Arabidopsis thaliana: one gene and its partners. The protein of the gene in region 3 interacts with the protein of the main gene of each other region in a pairwise test. Each region holds a gene or a part of one and is shown on either strand. Other genes may lie near its edges. The genes, in order: AT5G43560, Lhca5, AT-HSFB2B and PSBP-1.

Region 1 (7,425 bases), on a different chromosome or scaffold from region 3:
TATATATTGTCAACATTTTCACCTACTTTAGATAGTAGATACACATCCGAGATAGATAAAGGACATGTGACACATGAAAATGTGTGAACAATATAACTATAATATTAATAACTTTTCAGGAAAAAAATGATAATGTTTAATCGGGCAAGTCGTGGGTGGTTTGATTACGGTATGTAGACCGTAGGCTCTCGTGAATTAATCTAGCGTATATTTCTGAAATTGGTGGCCATTTTACGTAAGAAATTATTGCCCTAAGTTTTCTTCCACACAATCTATCTTTTAGTTATACATTTTATATACAAATCATAATATTTTTCCGTGGTGAAGTCTTTCATCTAAAAAAAGTGTTTCGATGTCATGCAGGTCATATATATCTTCTGCCTTTTTTTGTATTGAATATTTTTGTGGAAAGAAAAAAAGACAACCATTCATATATGAATAGTTCAAGTTGACTTTGTTCGTCATAGTTCTATCCACAACCGCATTTGCATTCGCACATTTAAATACTCCAAATGAAGATAAGCTGACTCTGAAACTTTAATTTGAGGATCAATTAACTTAAAAATTGTTATATTATTAAAGAAAATAAAACCTATAGAGAAAAAAGGATTCATTTGAAACGAAGAGGACGAAAACTCTCTTTACACAAATGTTTTTTGCTTTCCATCTTTATATAATAAACATTACAATGCAATGCCACTCTTTAAACCCAAACCTCAGTGTCCGTTCGATGGCCTGAAGTCCCTATAGCCGTTGATTCCAGACAAATTCGGGTTTGATGAATCTAAATCAAAGTAAGAGTAAGTAGCTGTTGCTGATGCTGATACATCGTCTTGGTTCCTCATAGCCGGTAAAGAGAAATCCATATTTGCCATCTGCCATTGCGATTGTGTTTGCCCATTACCATATGGCGAGGAAGAAGCAGAATGTGGCATGTATTCACCGTAAGACTGGTGAAATCCATCATCACTGTAACTCCTAGACCTGCTAGAGATCCCGAGATCCGCACCGCCATGATATGAGTACTGGTTGTTGAACTGTTGTGGTACACGGTATACGCTATTATCCATTGTACCGTGTTCGTCTGCAAGCAGATCATTGATGATATCAAGGTGAGGGAACTCATCGGTCATCAGACTCTGTGCCGTTCTCCCTATCTGAACATTAGTAGGCCTGATGCTGGTAGTTACTACGGGTGCGTTGTAAGTGTTTGTTTTGTGATTCCCGCTGATGGTTGTTGTTGTATCTCTGGTTGAACTCGAACCACCGGTCCACAATAGCCCACCAGAAGAAACATCCCAAGAGCCAACATTGATAGGGAAACCAGACTGATTTGATACTGAGATAGGAGACGGATGTGAATAAGGCGGCAATGTGCTTGTTCCACTCGATTGAGAGCTTGGGTGGGTGAAACCAGATGAACCCACTATGGCATGTTTGTAGGATTGAGGATTGTAAGCTTGGCTATGTGTCGGTGAACCTAAACGCCCTGTTGAGCTCATTGAACGAGCAAGGGACGCAGTCGAGGTTTGAACAGCAGATATTACAGGTGCAGCTTGCGTTGGAGGGATTATAGGAGCACTCAAAGGCCTTGACATAGGAGGTGCTGGTTGTTCCACAGGTTTCGGAGAAGCGATTTTCTGTATATCAGCTCTAGGACCCACTGTTTGCAACTGAGCTTCACGAGATGGTGATGCATGATGTGATGAAGGTGATTTAACAGATATGACTTTCCTGTTTGGAACCGCCTCTACATTTGAAACACCCTTTTTCTCCGGTTTTGCTTGCACTGGAGACGGAGGATTCCAAGGAGCAGCTCTGGATGGGGAAAGTACCGCAGCACTTTTCTCTTTCATCTGAATCATGTTGGGATCCTGCAAAATAAGATATAGTCATTCAATGTTGATAAGCATATCACTCTAAAATGGATTGAAAGGTAAACCAACACGAATTCTTTGGAATTTAGCTTCCCTCTTTTATATATATAACTTCCAAGTTCCAACATTGCAACTTCAAAAGGAAAGAGTAAACCACCTTGCTAACAGGACTACGTTCCTTAGGGCTCTCTGGTTTTTGAATGTGGGAGATAACTATGTCAGCTTCACCAACTCTGCGTATATCAGAAGAATGGCTCTGATTTTTAGGGTCAGATGCAAGTCTTGAAGGTTGATGCTCTTTTTCACTGGCTAAACTGTTGGAATCAGATACTTTTCCTGGTTGTATTTTTCCACTGCACATCACAAGGTATGTTATCCGGATGTGGAACAAACAAATAACTTAAAGGAAAGTTCAAAAAAAGTTTACTTACTTGCTAAACCACTTTTGGCTTTGGCAATTTAATACATTCCCTTTGTATGACCCATTGGCTACCCCTGATTGAATCGAGTCATTAGAACAGGTTGAAGAACTATCATCCATTGTGGACAGACCCTTTCTTTCTGCAACTCCATTAGGTATAGAAAAAGAATTGCCTCTTCCTCTGCTAGTGTCTCCTGCAGAAGGAGGATGAACCTCTGAGGCATCCATTTCCCAATGAACAGGACTACTCTCTCTATCTTCTGAATCAAGCTGAAGTATTTCAGCTGAACTATCTACTGAATCAGACACGTCAGAGACATCTCCAAGTGTGTCAGGTTTTTCAGCTGACGATTCTGCTATCGCTCTCACACATTCCTCTTTCTCAATTTCCCTTTCTTCTGTTTGGGTTCTCACCTTGTCTTCTTTCCTCATTTCCTTTCCTTTGTTTTTGTTCTTTTTCTGTTTCGCCTATGAGTTCCAAAACAATAAGAATCTCCATTAGCACCCCAACTAGTCGTTAATGGCATTATCTATTTTGGAAGTAACAGAAGTGTAAGGACGGACCTGTTTCTTCTTAGATTTCTTCTCTTTTTCAGATGCTCCTCTTTTGCCCTTCTGTTCGCTTTCTGCCAGCCACGCTTCCTCTTCTTCACGAATAAGTTCTTCTTGCCTTTTCCATGCAATAGCTTCTTGGTATGCAACTTCAATTTTGTTGCTGCATTTCTCAGAAAGATTGCAGTGCTATACATGAGGTACAGCTAAGAACACAAAGACACACAATACCAGAAGACCAGAAATACAAAATAAACACTATCAGCGGTTTCAGAATAAGATCGTCACGCATGTCTTAGCTTGTAAACAAATTATGTGCTTATGATTCACTTGTATGGAAATTTTAAAGCAAAGGCAAAATTATGCCTGGTGCACCAAATAAAAAAACAAAGAGGAAAAATTATGCCTTATTACCTGAAGATATGTGCAAGAACAAATATCTCCACAGTCCGTCTACCCAATTCAGTTAAACGCCTATCATCACGCTCAACGGCTTCTCTACTGAATTCCTCTCCAGCATTCCCATCCTAGATAAGGACAAGTGCTCATGTTTCAAGCATTTTTACATGTATAACAAAAAGTCAAAAAGCACCACCACACAGGAGAGTAAATCATGAACTTCAATCAATAAAATACAATAACAAAGAAACTAACCTTCGTACGGTTTTGAGAACTCTTTTCCTCTTTTTTAGGCAATGGCTCCAGAGCAGCCTTCTCTAAGAGTAATAACACATCATCAACTAATGCAAACGAATCTTTGTCCACGCTAACAATTGGAGCTGTGGATTCTTCAGTATCCATTAGTCTCGGCCTACTCTCCTTGTTCTTATTTTGGCCTTCAAGAGCCTTCAATCCACTATACAAGGAATCCATCACCAAAGTAGATGTAACTTCCTTCTCGACAAAGAAGTGTTTTACAACTATTTTTAGAATCACATCCATTTTCTCTCGGGACATTCGACGCCTTGAATTTTGGTCCAACCCCATCCAGAAAGCACAGAAGCTGCACCAAGAAATAACAATCACTTCCTTATCATGCAAACACCTCAAACTTTGAAGGAAGATTAGCAAGAAGTAAAAAAAAAAAAAAAAAAGTGCAGTACTACACTAGATTGGAATCAACCCAGTCTCTACAGCTATTTTTGATTTCATTTCTGGAATTTGGAGGAGTTGAGTGTAAAAATGTGGAATACCTTTTCCATTTTGCCTTGTCCTCTATCAACCTACCAAGCTTGCTTCTTTTCTCTTCCACAAACCGCCAGCAAATTTGCTCTACATTTCCCAAATACACCCTAACAAGTTCCTCCCTATATTTATAATGAAGGCAGCGAAAAGGTCGGTCCACTCTCTCTCTGCAAGAATCAATTTACAGAATTATCCACAATGCGACAAATAAAATCAAATAAATTGAAGCGAGCATAAGTTTTGTTGCAATGTGCATATTTGGTCAGGAACGTTTTTAAACACGTGTAGATGTATGTTAATGGGAGGATGTCTGACACATGATGACTTTAGCTAAAACTCAATCTTGCATTTACCTGATCACCTGCACTTGAGCTTTAATTGTAAGACAACCAGAATCATCTATAAACCCTTCCTTCAATTTAGGTAACTCAATAAATTTCTTCCAACCCCAATCATGCTCTTTCTTCCAAAACCGGTGTAACGTATCTGTAAGAAAACCCTGTTCAGTTCGACTGCGTAAATACGATATAAAGAAATCAAAAGATGCAAAATGTAACCTGAATGCTTTGACTTCTTCGGATCTTTATTCGACACAGCTATAGTAAACTGAGCAAAATGACTCCAGCCTGTCTCAAAGATAAACCTAAACGATAAGGTTCCCGGTTTCAAGAGTGTGTAGCTAAATAGACAACACAATATACTCACCTGGAAGAAGCTTTTCATGGTGTGCAACACATAGAAACAAAGAGAGATGGTTGCAAACATCACACCCTTGTGGATAAATTAATATATACCTACACCACCACCACAAGAGGAATATCAAACATTTTGTTAAGGAAAAGTACTCAACAAGGTTTAGTGATCATTCTTACCATTTGTAACCCCCGACTTCAAAAACATCGCCGCGGAGCTCTCGTTTGTTGATATCTGAAAATTTCTCAATCGTCCAAGTATTTTTCCCAAATAGTTGAGATGGTTTTGATCCAAAATCGTCATCATCATCGATGTCCCAATACGGTGGAGATGTAGAAGGAGTTCCATTCTCAACTTGTTCAGAAGAACGCCACTCAGCGATTGCTTCTTCTGATTGACTTCTTTGTCCATTTGAATTCTCTTCCAGTGATGATCTTCCTGCTCCACTATCTTCATTAGTACTCTCTGACATTCCCCTGATTAAGATTTCATCATACTAAATTAGTTAATGAATTCAAATAAGCTCAAAATTACGAATTTATCATAATCATCATCAAAACAAAGAATTATAGCTGAAGTGAATCAAATCTAAATCACAGTCACAGCTCAACAAAGATTCTAAATCAATCACTCACTCACATGAATCAAATCAATACACCAAAAACCTCAAAAACTATATAAGAATTGAGAATAAACCCTAAAAACAAAAAGCAATCTTAGAAACTAATAAAAACAAAAGCTGGAGCTGAGGAAATGCAAGAGAGACAAAATTATTCGATTCAATTAATTGAATTACAGAGAATTTACAAACAGAAAACATTGAAAAAAAATTCGATAAATATTTGAAGAAATCAGCGATCGGAAAACTCAAAAAAAAAACGGCACGAAATTGAAATCGGAGAAGTAAGGAAGAAAGATTTGAAGGAGACGTGTAAACGACGCCGTGTAGATCGAAGCAAACCTGGAGATGATTGAAGAAAGAGCTTGGAGATCGTTAGAATGAGATTTTAATGGAAGCTCGCTCTCTTCAAGATTCTAGAGAGAGAGATAAAAAAAGAGACGGAAGAGAGAGAAATGGAGAGATTGTAAGAAAGAAGAAAAAACACAGCGAAACAGAGAGAACAAATTTTAACCTTAAATTTAATTTGTTTTAATAGTTATTTTTTCATTCATGACATATTTATATATAACGTTCATGTTTTCATTTCTGCTCTGTTCTTTTTTTATCCATTTTGTATTACAAGAGAAAGAGATGAAATCATCAATATGGTAATAAGAAAACTAATGTCTTTTCTTGTCATCAATTAGTTTAATCTATATTTTCATAAAAAGGCAAACGAAAGATTTATTATTTTTTTACTTAAAACTTAAAAGAGAAATTTTATGTATATTTAAAAATATATCCGAGAAAAATTATTTTATATATTAAAGTATTTAACAGAATAACCAAACGAGATATTAGCGTTTTGAAATATGTATATCAAGAGGAAAATATTTTACATATTAAGTATATAACGGAATAAACAAACAAAATTTCTGTTTTTTGTGATCTTTTCTTAATATTCTATGTAAATTTTGCGGAAAATATTTTATATATCAAAATTATCTAACGGAATAAATCTACGAGATATACATATTTTACTTAAGAGAAAACAATTGTTACATTTAAAAAAAATTACATAAATCAAGCGGATAATTATTATGTATACATTAAAAGCATCTAACGGAATAACCAAACGAAATTCATGTTTACTTAAGAAAACAAAATGTTACCTTTTAAAAAAATCCACGTGAATCATGCGGGAAAATATTTTATATATTTCAATTATTTAACGGAATAAAACAAACGAGATATTAACGTTTTACTTAAAAAAAATTTGTCTTTTTTGTCAAGAAGAAAAATAGTTGTTATCTAATGGAATAATCAAACAAAATTCATGTTTTACTATAAAAAAAAAACTATTGTTAACTTTTAAAAAAATTCCACCTGGATCATGCAGAGAAATATCTTATATATTAAAAAATACTTAACTTTGTTTTGTTTTGTTAAAGAGTTTTATTAAAGTACTTAACATACTAAATAAACGGTATATTAATGTTTCACTAAAGAAAAAAAAATTGTTATCTCTTTAAAAAATCGCATAAATGATAGATTACACGAACACTGATTTTATATCAAAGTAATATTTTGAGATTATTAATTTATAAATAACAGATTAGGACTTGTATTTGTGTTGATAAATTATATTTATTTTTTCAAGTTATATATCTGTATTTTGTACCACTATTTTTCATTTTTTGTTTGTCTCATGTCGATGTCTAAACTCTTTTTTAAACACTCTCTCATATTTATTAGACATCTCGATATTAATAAGTATATTTAATAAATAAAAAAATTCAGCAGAAAATTAAAAAATAGTAAATTTGATGTCACCTAATTATGAATTACATGTAAGCTTAGTTACTTTTCCTCTTGAGTTACTTTTATATCATGATAATTAGCTTATTTTAGTGCCTTTTAATGTCTGTATACATAAGTAAATTAATATTTGTAAATATGTATTTTGAGGGGAAAAAAAAATAATTTACAGTCATTGGAATTTGGTAGATTCGAAGGGCTTGAAAGCAAATTACTTGAAATTGAAAGATAAGAACTTTGAATGGGCTATAAGCCGTTCGTAACCCATTATCGTTATA
Region 2 (3,925 bases), on a different chromosome or scaffold from region 3:
TATTAAAAAGTGTTTAGTGGATATAAATTTTGTAAAAAATAATTACTATAAAAAATAATAATTAGATTGTGTACTGATCTTTTGAATCAAAAAGATTTATGTACTTAAAATAAAAGGAACATACAATAATCAGAAAATATTTGGTGTATTCTTCTAGAATTTTCTTTCTAAATAAATCATGCAATATTGCAAGTTTTGGAAGATTTTCAAATATTTGATTAAATATCAAAATTGATTGCAGACAAAGAAAAAGGTAAGCACAATAGAGTTTTCCATTTGTATTCATCCCACTGGGCCTTGGAATAGAACTCGAGAAATTAATATGTATCCAACGAAGGAAAAGAAAATTTCACAATCCGGCTTGGTATAATAATAATAAGTTTGTGCGATTGTACATTAATTTGTGAAGAAGCCATGACTACTACTATGGTTGATGATGCTAAGAAGCCTGTCTATGAATCTACTAGCCTCTTCCGTATTTGGTGGTAATATCAAAGTCGATTTTCTTATCGATTCATTACTAGAGAACAAAATTAATTCTCATGATTCACTAATTTAATTTTTTTTCTTCTAATTTGTTAATGAAGGACGAACAAGAACCTACAATACGATATCGTGATGACTTGCATCCTCAAAATCCTCAACATTGCAGCGAACTTGTATATGACACACCACAAGATTCCCTTAACCGCAGATGAATCATCTTTGACGGTTTGCTTACTAATGTACTTAGTGTGCGGCATGATGAGTTTCATGGGGTGGTGCATGGCAATGACTGCTGTTGAAGGTTATGACATGTACATATGTGGACGCATTGGTCACATCTTTGGCTTGAGTGTTCTCCTTCACCTCCTCTATTCTATCTCTCCAAGTTTGGCTCTATGGTTTGGTATCCCATCGTTGTTATGGGTCTTTGCCGCTTTCATTGAAGCTCTTTATGCATTATGTCTACCCCAACTATTTAAAGCTTTAAGAGATCACTGGGACTATTTGAATCAACCACTCCTCAGAGTTGTTAATGTTTAGTTTCTTCTCTTTAATTTATATGTCTTGAATTTTCTTTTTAATCTTAAAATATTTCACGGATATAATCATTTTTCTTTATAATTTTATTTTTCTTCATATATTTTTTTTTTTGGTGCATGAAAACCAAATATAATATTTGATTTGAAAGTAGAGACTCATCTTCTTTCATGATTCAATTCTTTGTTTTGTTCCACAAGGCTGATTCTTTGCAATATAGATTGCTATAAGTTTAGGGCTTCAATAATATTGGTGATATTAGGCATGGCCATAATAACCGAACCGAAAGAACTGAATCAGAACTAAAACAAAAAGAACTGAACCCGAACCGAAATGATAGAATACTCAAATGGATCCTAAATTTTTGAATCAAAATAATCGGAACCGTACCCGAACCAAATCGAAATATTTTGGTTATCTGAAATATTTGAAATATGATTATAAGTATTAATTATTTTTAGATCAAATAATCAAAAATATCTAAAATACCAAAATTTACTCGAAAAATATATAAAAATACCAAAATCCGAAAAATACTCGAAACTATTCGAAAATACTCAAAATATCTGAAATATCAGAAAAATACGAAATAAAATATCTGAATGGATCCTAAACTTCAAAACCGAAACCGAAAGAACCAGAACCAAACCCAAACCGAATTGAAACTGTTTCGGTTCATATATGGATTCTAAACCAACCGAACCGAAAGAATCGGAACCGAACTGAATACCCGAATTCCCAGGCTTAGGTGATATGATAATATAAAAAAAAATCATATTTTTTATCAAAATGAGAAAAAATAATAATAATAATATGAATACAAGAAATGAAAAAAATGACTAGTTTACGTGGATCACGTTACTTCACAACTTGCCGATAACAAATAAACAGAGTCAGAACAGAACAAAAACGTAAGCAAAAAAAAATAAAACAGAGCAAAATGGCCGTAGTTTTACGTGGAGGCATCACCGGAGGATTTCTTCACCATCGTCGTGACGCTTCATCCGTCATCACAAGAAGAATCTCATCCGTCAAAGCCGCAGGAGGAGGCATCAACCCAACGGTGGCTGTTGAACGTGCCACGTGGCTACCTGGACTAAACCCTCCTCCTTATCTTGATGGAAAGTGAGTTCCTTTTGCCTCCCATTTGCAAAAAGGACTAATATACTAATCTCTTGTTGTGTTCTTGAAATAAAGTTTAGCTGGAGATTACGGGTTTGACCCACTCGGGTTAGGAGAGGATCCGGAAAGCTTGAAGTGGTATGTTCAAGCAGAGCTTGTTCACTCTCGTTTCGCTATGCTCGGTGTTGCAGGAATACTCTTCACTGATGTAATCACTAATCTTAATCATTTACTTAAATGTTGAAAATGGCTCCAAATATGACTAACTTAGAGCTTTGTTTTTGTTGCATTAGCTCCTTCGGACCACAGGGATTCGTAATTTACCGGTTTGGTATGAAGCTGGAGCTGTGAAATTTGATTTTGCTAGTACAAAAACTCTCATAGTTGTACAGTTTCTACTTATGGGGTAATGAATCAAACTCATTATCTATCTTTATTGTTAACCAACAAAAGCTTAGAATGGTTCTGTTTTGTTTTCTTCACAAGGTTTGCTGAGACTAAAAGGTATATGGATTTTGTCTCTCCGGGATCACAAGCCAAAGAAGGATCGTTTTTCTTTGGACTTGAAGCAGCACTCGAGGGGCTCGAGCCTGGATATCCCGGAGGACCGCTTTTAAACCCATTAGGCCTTGCTAAGGATGTTCAAAATGCTCATGACTGGAAGCTTAAGGAGATCAAGAACGGTACTAGACTTACTTTGGTTTGGTTACTTACTCATAAAACTCTCTTTGTGGGACATTGATTGATTGTTTTTTTTAACAGGTCGTCTAGCGATGATGGCGATGCTCGGGTTCTTTGTTCAAGCCTCTGTGACTCACACTGGCCCTATTGATAACCTTGTTGAGCATCTCTCTAATCCATGGCATAAGACCATCATTCAAACCCTCTTCACCTCTACATCTTAGGTACATTCTTTTGTAATGAAAAATTCGATTATTCGACAAGTGTATCAATACCTTTATTTCATTTAAGAGTACAACAAATCTGTTCTAATCAACAAACTTAAAAGTTCACTGTTCTCTCTCAACATACAAATCGAATATCTCGAGAAAATAACAATAAAACCTACCTGTAAGAAACTTACTTGTTGGATGACTTCTTCCTTGACAAGAACATGAAGACTTTTGGTAACAGAGAGAACCTCTTCTTTTTCTTTTTTGTTTCAGTTTCAGGAGTCACATTACTACTGCTTGCTTGTGGGGTCACATTACTACTGCTTGCTTGTTCACCAAATGTAAACGTTGTTGGTTGATGCAAAGCCGATTTAGACTTGCTTAAGTTCTCCTTATTTCCTCCCTCGGGGCTTCTATTCCCGTTATCCGACCTCCATTTTCGCAACTCGTGATCCATACCAACCTTCCCATCTCTAGCTTTCTCAACTTTTGTCATTGCTTCTTTTAGCTCTACCTTTCTTATAGCTGTTTCTCTACTCACTTCCTCTAGATTTTCCAAGATTCTTGATTCCTCTTCCTTAGCCACCTCGATTTTGGAGACGATCTCCGCTAGTTTTCTATTAGCTGCCTCTTCTACCTCATGTGCTTGCTTGCTTAGCTCATAATATTCCTCCACTGAAATTATTATGCTTTTTGGAGAACTACTAATGTCTTCGATTTTGTTAGCATATTCAGTCTCTTGCAATGCTTTTATTGCAGCTAAAGCTAACTTCTCAGAAGCTCTTGAAGCTTCCATTTCCTTTTTCGACTCCATTAACTGTCTTTCTACCGCAGAGAGTCCTGTTTTCGCTTCATCGGACTCTTCCTTCGCCTTTCTTAGCTCCTCT
Region 3 (4,529 bases):
ATAATATATTTTTTTTGTCATTTCTTGCAAATAGTTTAAGACATTTAGATTTTTTTTTTTTAAAGATTACCGAAAGTTATACATGTTAAGTATACAATTCAAATTCATGACTTTCGACTATGAAAATACATCATAAATCGATTGTTTTACGTTTTCTGGATTTTTTTTTGGGTTTCTTGGCAAAGTAGACACTTTTTCATAAATAATTTGTAAAGTGGATAGTTTTTTTTAGAAATTAGAGAGATAGACACTTTTTTGTTTTTTGTGAGATAGAGGATATGTCTAATAGATTAAAAAAACAAAATACATATCAAATACTAAAATACCCTTTATCTTGAGAGCTAATAAAAATAATATGAGAGACCATTTGTACTTTATTTTGTTTGTCTTTATTTTTTTTATTTTTTTATTTTAGTTTTCTTAAAATATTTTTTTAAATAATAAATTCTTTTTAAAAAACATTACATTAACTTTTAGAGTAATTATATGTCATCAATCCAATGCACAAACATTTCAAACATAGTTTTGTACACTAACCATTATTCGTTGGTGTACAAATGTGTATACTGATATTTCATAAATCATTAAGTACACCGACTTCTCTTATAAACATAATGATTGTATAAACCTTATATGATTACTCAATATAATAGTGTACATGATGGTGTACATAATTAAAGTATTTTTGATGATGTACAAAATGATTGAAACTATTATGACGATTGATGGATAGAATGATGTATACAACTTTTAAATGATAGCATACAAGATTATTAGACAAAGTGTACAAAACTTGGTGTACACTTCTAGGAAATGTATAAATCATTATTTCAATTAGTGGTGTATATCTCGTACACCAATGTTAGTACACTGTCTCATAGATCTTTAAAGCTGTACGATCATGTACACCATATTTTCCATCATCTCTTTACACTATTTTGTACACAATTATACTGAGTCTATCACTTCTCAGTATTATATGTTAATTTTTACATTATTGTCGTACACTAACATTTGTACACCAGTTTTAACAATATCACATACACCGTCGGCTGGGATTAAATAAAAAAGTGTTACATATTTTTGAAATATAGCAAAATTAGACTTTTTAGATTCACATAAAAATTTTAAAAGTTAATATGATTATGTGGTAATTTTTTATGAAAAATTATTATCAAACAAAGTAAAAATATTTAAATAAAAAAAAAAAGAGAAAAAGTAGAATTTGATTTGAGTTTTGTCTATATTTTACTACCTAACAAATAACAAAAGGTTATATAAGTATTTTTACTAAAATTTTTATTAGACAAAAAATTGTATTAGAAAGGAAAAAAAAAATTATCTATTTCTTCTTTTTCTAAAAAAACTACATATTTTGCAATTTATTTATATAAAAAGAATACATTTTCCAACTTATCTCTTTTTTTTAAAAAGTTTTTTTATCATAAAAACTTTATATTTAAAATCTGGATAATGACACTATTACTACAATTTTGCTAAGATATTTGTTTCCTTTTTACGATGATTACAATTAGACTATAATATTGGATAAACGAATCTCAAATATTGAATTCATAATTAATGTTGAACATAAAACATAAGAAAAGTAATTAAAAAAAGAGTCAACTCAGAATAATCAATTCGAGTCTATCACTTTATTCCACTCACATTAATTACCAAAAATGTTATGAAAATCTAGATAGCGTTTCACATATTCACAGGGTCAAAAAAGGAAATAACAAAAAGAAGAAAAAAGAGAAACTTCTGGAAAAAGAAAAGGAAGCCACATACGCTCTTCTAGCGCATTCCTATACTCTTTCCTTCTTTGTGGTCCCCTTTTCACTTTTTTAAATTCCAACTTTACCCTTGTTCTTCTTCTTCGTTCTCTTTTTTTTATTTTTGTTTTTGTTGTTGTCTTCTGGAACTTCCGATCTGTCTCTCCTCTTCTCTCTCTTTCTTATCAATACGTTCCTCTCAGAACATTCTGGAACTTCACAACATAATCTCTCTCTCTCTCTATCTCTAGCTTCGTGATCATCGTGTGTCTCTGTGTTCAATCTGGATTGTGACAATCTCTTTCTTTCTTGGTTGGTGTAGATTACGTCAAGAGAGAGATAGAGAAGTTTTTGGATTTGGTTCTAATGGGTCTGTGATAGACGTTTCCTTTCTCTTCTCTGTCTAGTTTCTGTTTTGAGATCTCTATGTTTCCAACTTTCTTCAAAGCTCATTCCCATTGGTAGATTTCATCATTATCTTAATTTGGGTATTGGGATTAAGGAAAGTTTAGATTTTTGATCTATAACTCATGCCGGGGGAACAAACCGGAGAAACTCCGACGGTGGCCGGAGTTGGCGGCGGTGGAGCTGGTTGTAGCGCCGGGAATAGTGGTGGAAGTAGTGGATGTGGTGCTGGTGGTGGCGGTGGTGGTAGTGGTGGAGGTGGTGGCGGAGGAGGAGATTCACAGAGGTCAATTCCGACGCCGTTTTTGACGAAAACGTATCAGCTTGTGGAAGATCCGGTTTACGACGAATTGATCTCGTGGAACGAAGATGGAACCACTTTTATTGTGTGGCGACCAGCTGAATTCGCTAGAGATCTTCTTCCCAAATACTTCAAACATAATAACTTCTCGAGTTTTGTTCGTCAGCTCAATACTTACGTGAGTCTCAATATACGTTTGAATCGAAATTTTCAGTTATTAGGTTTTTTAGTAGTGAGCTCTTATTTTGGTTTATTATTGGTTTTAGGGATTTCGAAAAGTAGTTCCAGATCGTTGGGAGTTTTCTAATGATTGTTTTAAGAGAGGTGAGAAGATTCTGCTTCGGGATATTCAACGGCGGAAAATCTCTCAGCCTGCTATGGCCGCGGCTGCTGCAGCGGCGGCGGCAGCCGTAGCGGCTTCGGCTGTTACAGTAGCAGCTGTTCCTGTTGTAGCTCATATTGTTTCTCCATCGAACTCTGGAGAAGAACAGGTTATATCGTCTAATTCTTCGCCTGCGGCTGCTGCTGCTGCTATAGGAGGAGTGGTTGGTGGTGGTTCTTTGCAGAGGACAACGAGCTGCACCACTGCACCAGAGCTGGTTGAGGAGAATGAGCGATTGAGGAAAGATAATGAGCGATTGAGGAAAGAGATGACAAAGCTTAAAGGATTGTATGCGAATATCTACACATTAATGGCGAATTTCACACCGGGTCAAGAAGATTGTGCGCATTTGTTACCTGAAGGGAAACCTTTAGATCTTTTACCGGAGAGACAAGAGATGAGTGAAGCCATTATGGCTTCTGAAATAGAGACAGGGATTGGTCTGAAACTTGGTGAGGATTTGACTCCAAGGTTGTTTGGGGTTTCTATTGGGGTCAAGCGAGCTAGAAGAGAAGAAGAATTGGGTGCTGCAGAGGAAGAAGATGATGATAGACGAGAAGCTGCTGCCCAAGAGGGAGAACAAAGTTCTGATGTTAAGGCAGAGCCAATGGAGGAGAATAACTCCGGTAACCATAATGGGTCGTGGCTTGAACTCGGAAAATGAAAAACACTTGCCGATTCAGAGGCATTGTTGAATATGCAAGAAACTGTTACTGATCCCCATTGCATAGGCAAGCCATTGCGCTGTCCCGGACGGAAAATGGGGATGTGTTCGGTCATAAGAGGACAGATGTTCATTGAGTTGGGGTAGTACAAAAGTATCTAAAAACACTGATTCTACCATCCTGAGTTGTTCCTGATTTCAGATGTTGCCTCCTGAATCTTCTTCTTGATGGAACTGAAACTATTCTGGCTTGCTGTGCTCCAGTGAGTGGATGTGCTTCTCACGATTTCGGATAAAGCAGGCAGATTCAATGTTACATCTTCATATTCTGCAACAAATAGCAGGAATCAATGGTTTTTAAGAGTTATGGCAATGTTGATACAGAATCATTTCTTTTGAGTTCAAAACAATTGTAGCTCTCTGACTTGTAATGATCTTAATGAAATTTATCTCTCTTATTTAAAGATGGTCCAAGTTCTCTAGTGGTCGTGTGTGTGTTTTTACCTGTTGACATAGGAAGCTCGTACTGGCGCTTTAAGAATTTGGAGGCGTTACGATCTTTCTTGTGGCAAAGAACTCTAACAAGAGTTTGTGCATCCTCCAAGCGCCGCTGCTCTGAACTCACCCCCATGTTGATGAGCTCGCTCGCAGTCATTAGCATCTGAATTAGCATATCGCTCTGCCACAACGGACATAATCCGTAACACTTTGGTATCTCATAATTTCTAAGAAAGGAACTAAGTTTGCAATTTGCAAGTGAGCAAAATATATTTACCTCGAGAGAGTACAAGTCGAGGATCTCTTTCGCCTGTTTCGCTTCTTGCTCAACTAGTGAACGAGGAAGTCCCTCCCCATCGGCAATGAAGAACTCCTACAAGGGGACACACGCCGTAGGTTAAGTACACAGATTGGAACTGCCTAATCCACGGATCAAGACCCGGTTCTCATATGCAAAATGGCCGAACCTCAAAATCAAAGTAGAAAATCTAGTTTCTAGTATTT
Region 4 (4,327 bases), on a different chromosome or scaffold from region 3:
TAGATAAAGAAGTTGGTAGGCCTGGAGAGAAAATAATGCTTGGGCCGGAAAATTCAGTAAAAGTAGTAGTGGATCGGTGGCTGCCTTTCAAGGTTACAGCTTTTGAAATTGCTCAAATGTACATCTTGAGAGAGAGACTAATGGCGTCCATTTTGTTCAAGGTACATGAGTTATCACTACGATTTAAGATTTTCATTATTTTATTTTGGCAATGTCATCCTTTTCAACCTTCCATATGCATTTGTAGGTTAAACATCCAAAGGAAAATTTGCCGCCTCATCTCGGTGCTTCTATGTATGCAATAGCTTCTGTTCTCTCATATGATAGCCTCGCACAATCTTCAGTTCAAACTGTAGCTGTGCAACCTATTACTTCAGTGGTAGATGCAACGAGTCCCAGAGATGACATACCTTCCACTAACCCCAATGAGCTTCGGGAGCATGACCCGAACACTACTCCAATGGGGTCAAAGCTCGAATTAGCCAACAAGTTGGGTTTGGGTAATATGGAAGAGAGCTTGCCTTCAAATTTCGCTGATGGGAATGAGCAACCTGACCCAAACACTTCTCCAGTGGAAGATGTTTCGGCGGCTACAAAACAAAAGAAGATGCAGTCAGAGTCCAAAAGGTGCAAGTCGCTCAACAACGTGGATTTGGGGAACATTGAAGAGAATTTCGGGAACATGGAAGAGAACCCACCTTCTGATCTGGCTATTGGGAATGAGCAAACATTGCCGAAGTTAGCTAGCAACTTGGACATGGGGAACATGGAAGAGAACACGCCTTCTGATCTGGCCAATGGGAATGAGAAAACAGAGCCTAACTCAGCCAACAGCATGGATTTAGGGAACATGGAAGAGAACACGCCTTCTGATTTGGCAAATGGGAATAAGAAAAAAGAGCCTAAGTCAGTCAGCAAGTTGGATCTGGGTAGCGAGAAAGTGAGCATTCCTTCTAATCTCGTCAATGGAAATGAGCAACATGACCTAAACATTGCTCCAGGTGAAGATGCTTCAGCGGCTAAGCAACCAGAAAAGAAGCGATCCAGGTCTAAAAAGCGCAAATCAGGCAACAACCTGGATTTGGGGAAGATGGAAAAGAGCAAGCCTTCCGATCTGGCAAATGAGAATGAGCAAACAGAGCCCAAGTCAGCCAACAACTTGGATTTAGGGAATATGAAAGAGAACACGCCTTCGGATCTGGCTAATGAGAATGAGCAAACAGAGCTTAGGCTACCTAACAACTCGGATTATGGTAACATGGAAGAGAGCTTGCCTTTGAATCTTGCTAATGGGGATGAACAACCTGACCCAACCACTGCTCCAATGGAAGCTGCTAAGCAACCAAAAAAGAAGCGATCAAGGTCCAAAAAGTGCAAATCAGTCAACAACCTGGACTTGGGGAACATGGAAGAAAACAAGCCTTCTGATCTGGCAAACGGAAATGAGCAAAAAGATCCTGAGTCAGTCAACAGGTTGGATCCGGGTAAGGAGAAAGAGAGCATTCCTTCGAATCTTGTCAGTGGGAATGAGCAACCTGACTCAAACACTGCTCCAGCTAAGAAACCAAAAAAGAAAAAGCGCAAATTAGCTAACAACTTTGATTCGGTTAACAATATGGAAGAGAAAATGCCTTCCACTAATGTATTGAGCCAGGGAAACAAGTCAGGTTTGATTGAGGAAAAACCGAGCATACCTTCCGATCAATGAGCAGTGTGGCTCAAATACTGCACCAACCTAAGCAAAACCGAAAGAAGAAGGGAAGTATGATGCCCATTCCACTTTGGTGTTTTAATGAGCATTTCGGTGTTTGTCATGAAACCAAGTTTTGAAATGGCACTTGTCTACATAAGTGTAACAGATTCTTAATTTCAACAATTTTGTTAGATAATTTGTATTCATTCTCACTTAGTGCTTCCGTTGTTCTATCGTTATAAACGTTTTAAGATATACGCATGTAACTGAAAGAAGAAAAGCCATTATTGATCCAGTACTGTAGTGTCTTAGTGTGAGCAGAAAAAAGATTTGATCATGGAATGGCTTTAGAGTAAAATACTAAAATAGATGGAATCGAAGGCTTATGAATCTGACGTGGAACAAGAAGAAAGCGTATCTGCCACGTGGCACAATACAACACCTCAACAGCCTTATCTGGACATCAACAGAGAGATCCTCCAATATCCGAAACCAACCAATCAGCTTCACTCTTGGTTTCACCTCCATACATTAACACACCAACAATCCTCAAAAAACACTTTCATAACTTAATCACACACAAGGAGAGAAGAGAGAAAGAGAGAAAGAGAGACAGAGATAATGGCGTACAGTGCGTGTTTCCTACACCAGAGCGCATTGGCTTCATCAGCCGCACGATCATCATCTTCCTCCTCATCCCAGCGTCACGTGTCGCTCTCCAAACCTGTTCAGATCATCTGTAAAGCTCAACAGTCTCATGAAGACGATAACTCCGCCGTCTCCCGCCGTCTTGCTCTCACTCTCCTCGTCGGCGCCGCTGCTGTTGGTTCCAAAGTATCTCCTGCTGATGCCGCCTACGGTGAAGCTGGTGCGTTTATAAAATAAAATAACCTTGGATCATTTCATTTTCTTGAAGAAGAATCTTGAAGAACATATTGTGTTTTTTTCATCCTATTTTTATTTTTTGGTTTGTTGCAGCAAACGTGTTTGGGAAGCCAAAGACGAACACAGACTTCTTGCCATACAATGGAGATGGGTTCAAAGTGCAGGTTCCAGCAAAATGGAACCCAAGCAAAGAGATTGAGTATCCAGGACAAGTCCTTAGGTTCGAAGACAACTTCGATGCTACTAGCAATCTCAATGTCATGGTCACTCCTACCGACAAGAAGTCCATCACTGATTACGGTTCTCCCGAAGAGTTCCTCTCTCAGGTCTTTGCTTTACTCCATCATCTGTAAAGGTATTGATGTTACAAAATCTAATGAAGTGTGAGACTGAGTGGTGATTTGGGCTTTATGCAGGTTAATTACCTCCTAGGGAAACAAGCTTACTTCGGTGAGACTGCCTCTGAGGTAAACTTCCCATTGTTATTTGTTATAAGTAAACCAGAAGCTGATAGAATAGAATAAGAGAATCAAACACTAAAGAGAGAACACATTGTCTCCCTCGTTGTTAACTGATAAAACAAAACTCAAAAGCTTTTTTAACTGATAACCTTCAAAGACCTCTCTAGTAGTCGATGATTATTACAAGAAAGATTCTTACCTTAGGTGGAGTGAGTTATCAAGTTCTAACTCTGTGTGTGTGTGAATCTGATGTTCTTACAGGGAGGCTTTGACAACAATGCAGTGGCAACAGCAAACATTCTGGAGTCATCATCTCAGGAAGTTGGTGGGAAACCCTACTATTACTTGTCTGTGTTGACAAGAACGGCTGATGGAGACGAAGGTGGGAAGCATCAGCTGATCACAGCAACCGTGAATGGAGGGAAGCTTTACATCTGCAAAGCACAAGCTGGAGACAAGAGGTGGTTCAAGGGAGCCAGGAAATTTGTCGAGAGCGCAGCCACTTCTTTCAGTGTTGCTTGAGTGAAAGCAACACAACGTAACAATGCTCTGCTTGCTTTCTTCATTTGTCTCTTGTAAAAAATGGAAAATGAAACTGAGCTTTTGAGAACTATCAAGATGATGTTACCTTTTCGGCATCACTTGTGTACCTATGATAACAGACTCGTTTTCCAAGTTTTCTTAAAAAACAACTATATTCAATAGATATTTTCTCAAATTAATAAGATATTGACTCAGAAAGAAGCTATAGACTAAATCTAAATCCTTGAAAGCACAAAGATAGTGAGAAGAAAGCCTGCTTGAAGCTGATATGAAAAGAGGTAAGCATCAAATGGTTCTTCTAGTCAACAGAAAGGTTAAAACGCAGATGAATTTTGACGTCTGACTCTAACTAGATCTATTGAAGCATATGCCAAAGGCCCTCCTCTTTCTTTTTGGCTACTGTAAAGTTCTCAAAGAGGCAAAAAGATTTTATTTGCATATGTATTACAACACTTTACCATCATCTATATACTACTTTTAGTTCATATTGTAACTTTTGAGCTTTACAAATGCTACAAACAGAGTGTTAAGAGTTCAGAGATACTCAACAGGGAAACCAACGACGGGTTTTATCTCAGAGGCCAGGGACCGTAGCTCACTCACTTCATTGTCTGTCAGACTCCAACCTATCGCTCCAGCAAACTCTTTGGCTTGTTCTGCGTTCTTGGCTCCTGGGATGGGTATCACGTTCCCTTGTGCCACCAACCAGTTCAATGCTATCTGCACAGCACAACACAACAAAACA

The links.
Region 1: the proteins of AT-HSFB2B (region 3) and AT5G43560 interact in a two-hybrid assay, tested with the Arabidopsis thaliana proteins (one study listed by BioGRID).
Region 2: the proteins of AT-HSFB2B (region 3) and Lhca5 interact in a two-hybrid assay, tested with the Arabidopsis thaliana proteins (one study listed by BioGRID).
Region 4: the proteins of AT-HSFB2B (region 3) and PSBP-1 interact in a two-hybrid assay, tested with the Arabidopsis thaliana proteins (one study listed by BioGRID).

The regions. Positions count from the first base shown.
Region 1 is NC_003076.8:17,498,818-17,506,242, reverse strand, and holds AT5G43560 (TRAF-like superfamily protein), read right to left. Parts: upstream 5,868-7,425; 5' UTR 5,690-5,867; exon of another isoform or gene 5,205-5,689; 5' UTR 5,201-5,204; coding exon 4,908-5,200; intron 4,830-4,907; coding exon 4,741-4,829; intron 4,662-4,740; coding exon 4,593-4,661; intron 4,522-4,592; coding exon 4,389-4,521; intron 4,203-4,388; coding exon 4,044-4,202; intron 3,854-4,043; coding exon 3,505-3,853; intron 3,378-3,504; coding exon 3,265-3,377; intron 3,014-3,264; coding exon 2,863-3,013; intron 2,767-2,862; coding exon 2,309-2,766; intron 2,231-2,308; coding exon 2,035-2,230; intron 1,875-2,034; coding exon 717-1,874; 3' UTR 530-716; downstream 1-529. UniProt on the Arabidopsis thaliana protein: Functions redundantly with TRAF1B in the regulation of plant immune response. Contributes to the turnover of the nucleotide-binding domain and leucine-rich repeat-containing (NB-LRR) immune receptors SNC1 and RPS2.
Region 2 is NC_003070.9:17,177,390-17,181,314, forward strand, and holds Lhca5 (photosystem I light harvesting complex protein 5), read left to right. Parts: upstream 1-1,860; 5' UTR 1,861-1,963; coding exon 1,964-2,148; intron 2,149-2,220; coding exon 2,221-2,353; intron 2,354-2,438; coding exon 2,439-2,551; intron 2,552-2,631; coding exon 2,632-2,828; intron 2,829-2,907; coding exon 2,908-3,050; exon of another isoform or gene 3,051-3,141; intron 3,142-3,225; downstream 3,226-3,925. Other genes in the region: AT1G45403 (uncharacterized protein), read left to right, coding at 415-485, 588-1,026; AT1G45545 (WEAK CHLOROPLAST MOVEMENT UNDER BLUE LIGHT-like protein (DUF827)), read right to left, coding at 3,226-3,925. UniProt on the Arabidopsis thaliana protein: The light-harvesting complex (LHC) functions as a light receptor, it captures and delivers excitation energy to photosystems with which it is closely associated.
Region 3 is NC_003075.7:7,040,701-7,045,229, forward strand, and holds AT-HSFB2B (winged-helix DNA-binding transcription factor family protein), read left to right. Parts: upstream 1-1,653; 5' UTR 1,654-2,305; coding exon 2,306-2,659; intron 2,660-2,747; coding exon 2,748-3,527; 3' UTR 3,528-3,700; coding exon of another isoform or gene 3,701-3,855; 3' UTR 3,856-4,008; downstream 4,009-4,529. Other genes in the region: AT4G11670 (DNA topoisomerase 4 subunit B (DUF810)), read right to left, coding at 3,701-3,855, 4,032-4,206, 4,303-4,398. UniProt on the Arabidopsis thaliana protein: Transcriptional regulator that specifically binds DNA sequence 5'-AGAAnnTTCT-3' known as heat shock promoter elements (HSE).
Region 4 is NC_003070.9:2,045,626-2,049,952, forward strand, and holds PSBP-1 (photosystem II subunit P-1), read left to right. Parts: upstream 1-2,008; 5' UTR 2,009-2,314; coding exon 2,315-2,561; coding exon of another isoform or gene 2,562-2,565; intron 2,566-2,671; coding exon 2,672-2,904; intron 2,905-2,994; coding exon 2,995-3,045; intron 3,046-3,300; coding exon 3,301-3,561; 3' UTR 3,562-3,814; downstream 3,815-4,327. Other genes in the region: NIH (nuclear DEIH-boxhelicase), read left to right, coding at 1-161, 248-1,708; AT1G06690 (NAD(P)-linked oxidoreductase superfamily protein), read right to left, coding at 4,117-4,302. UniProt on the Arabidopsis thaliana protein: May be involved in the regulation of photosystem II.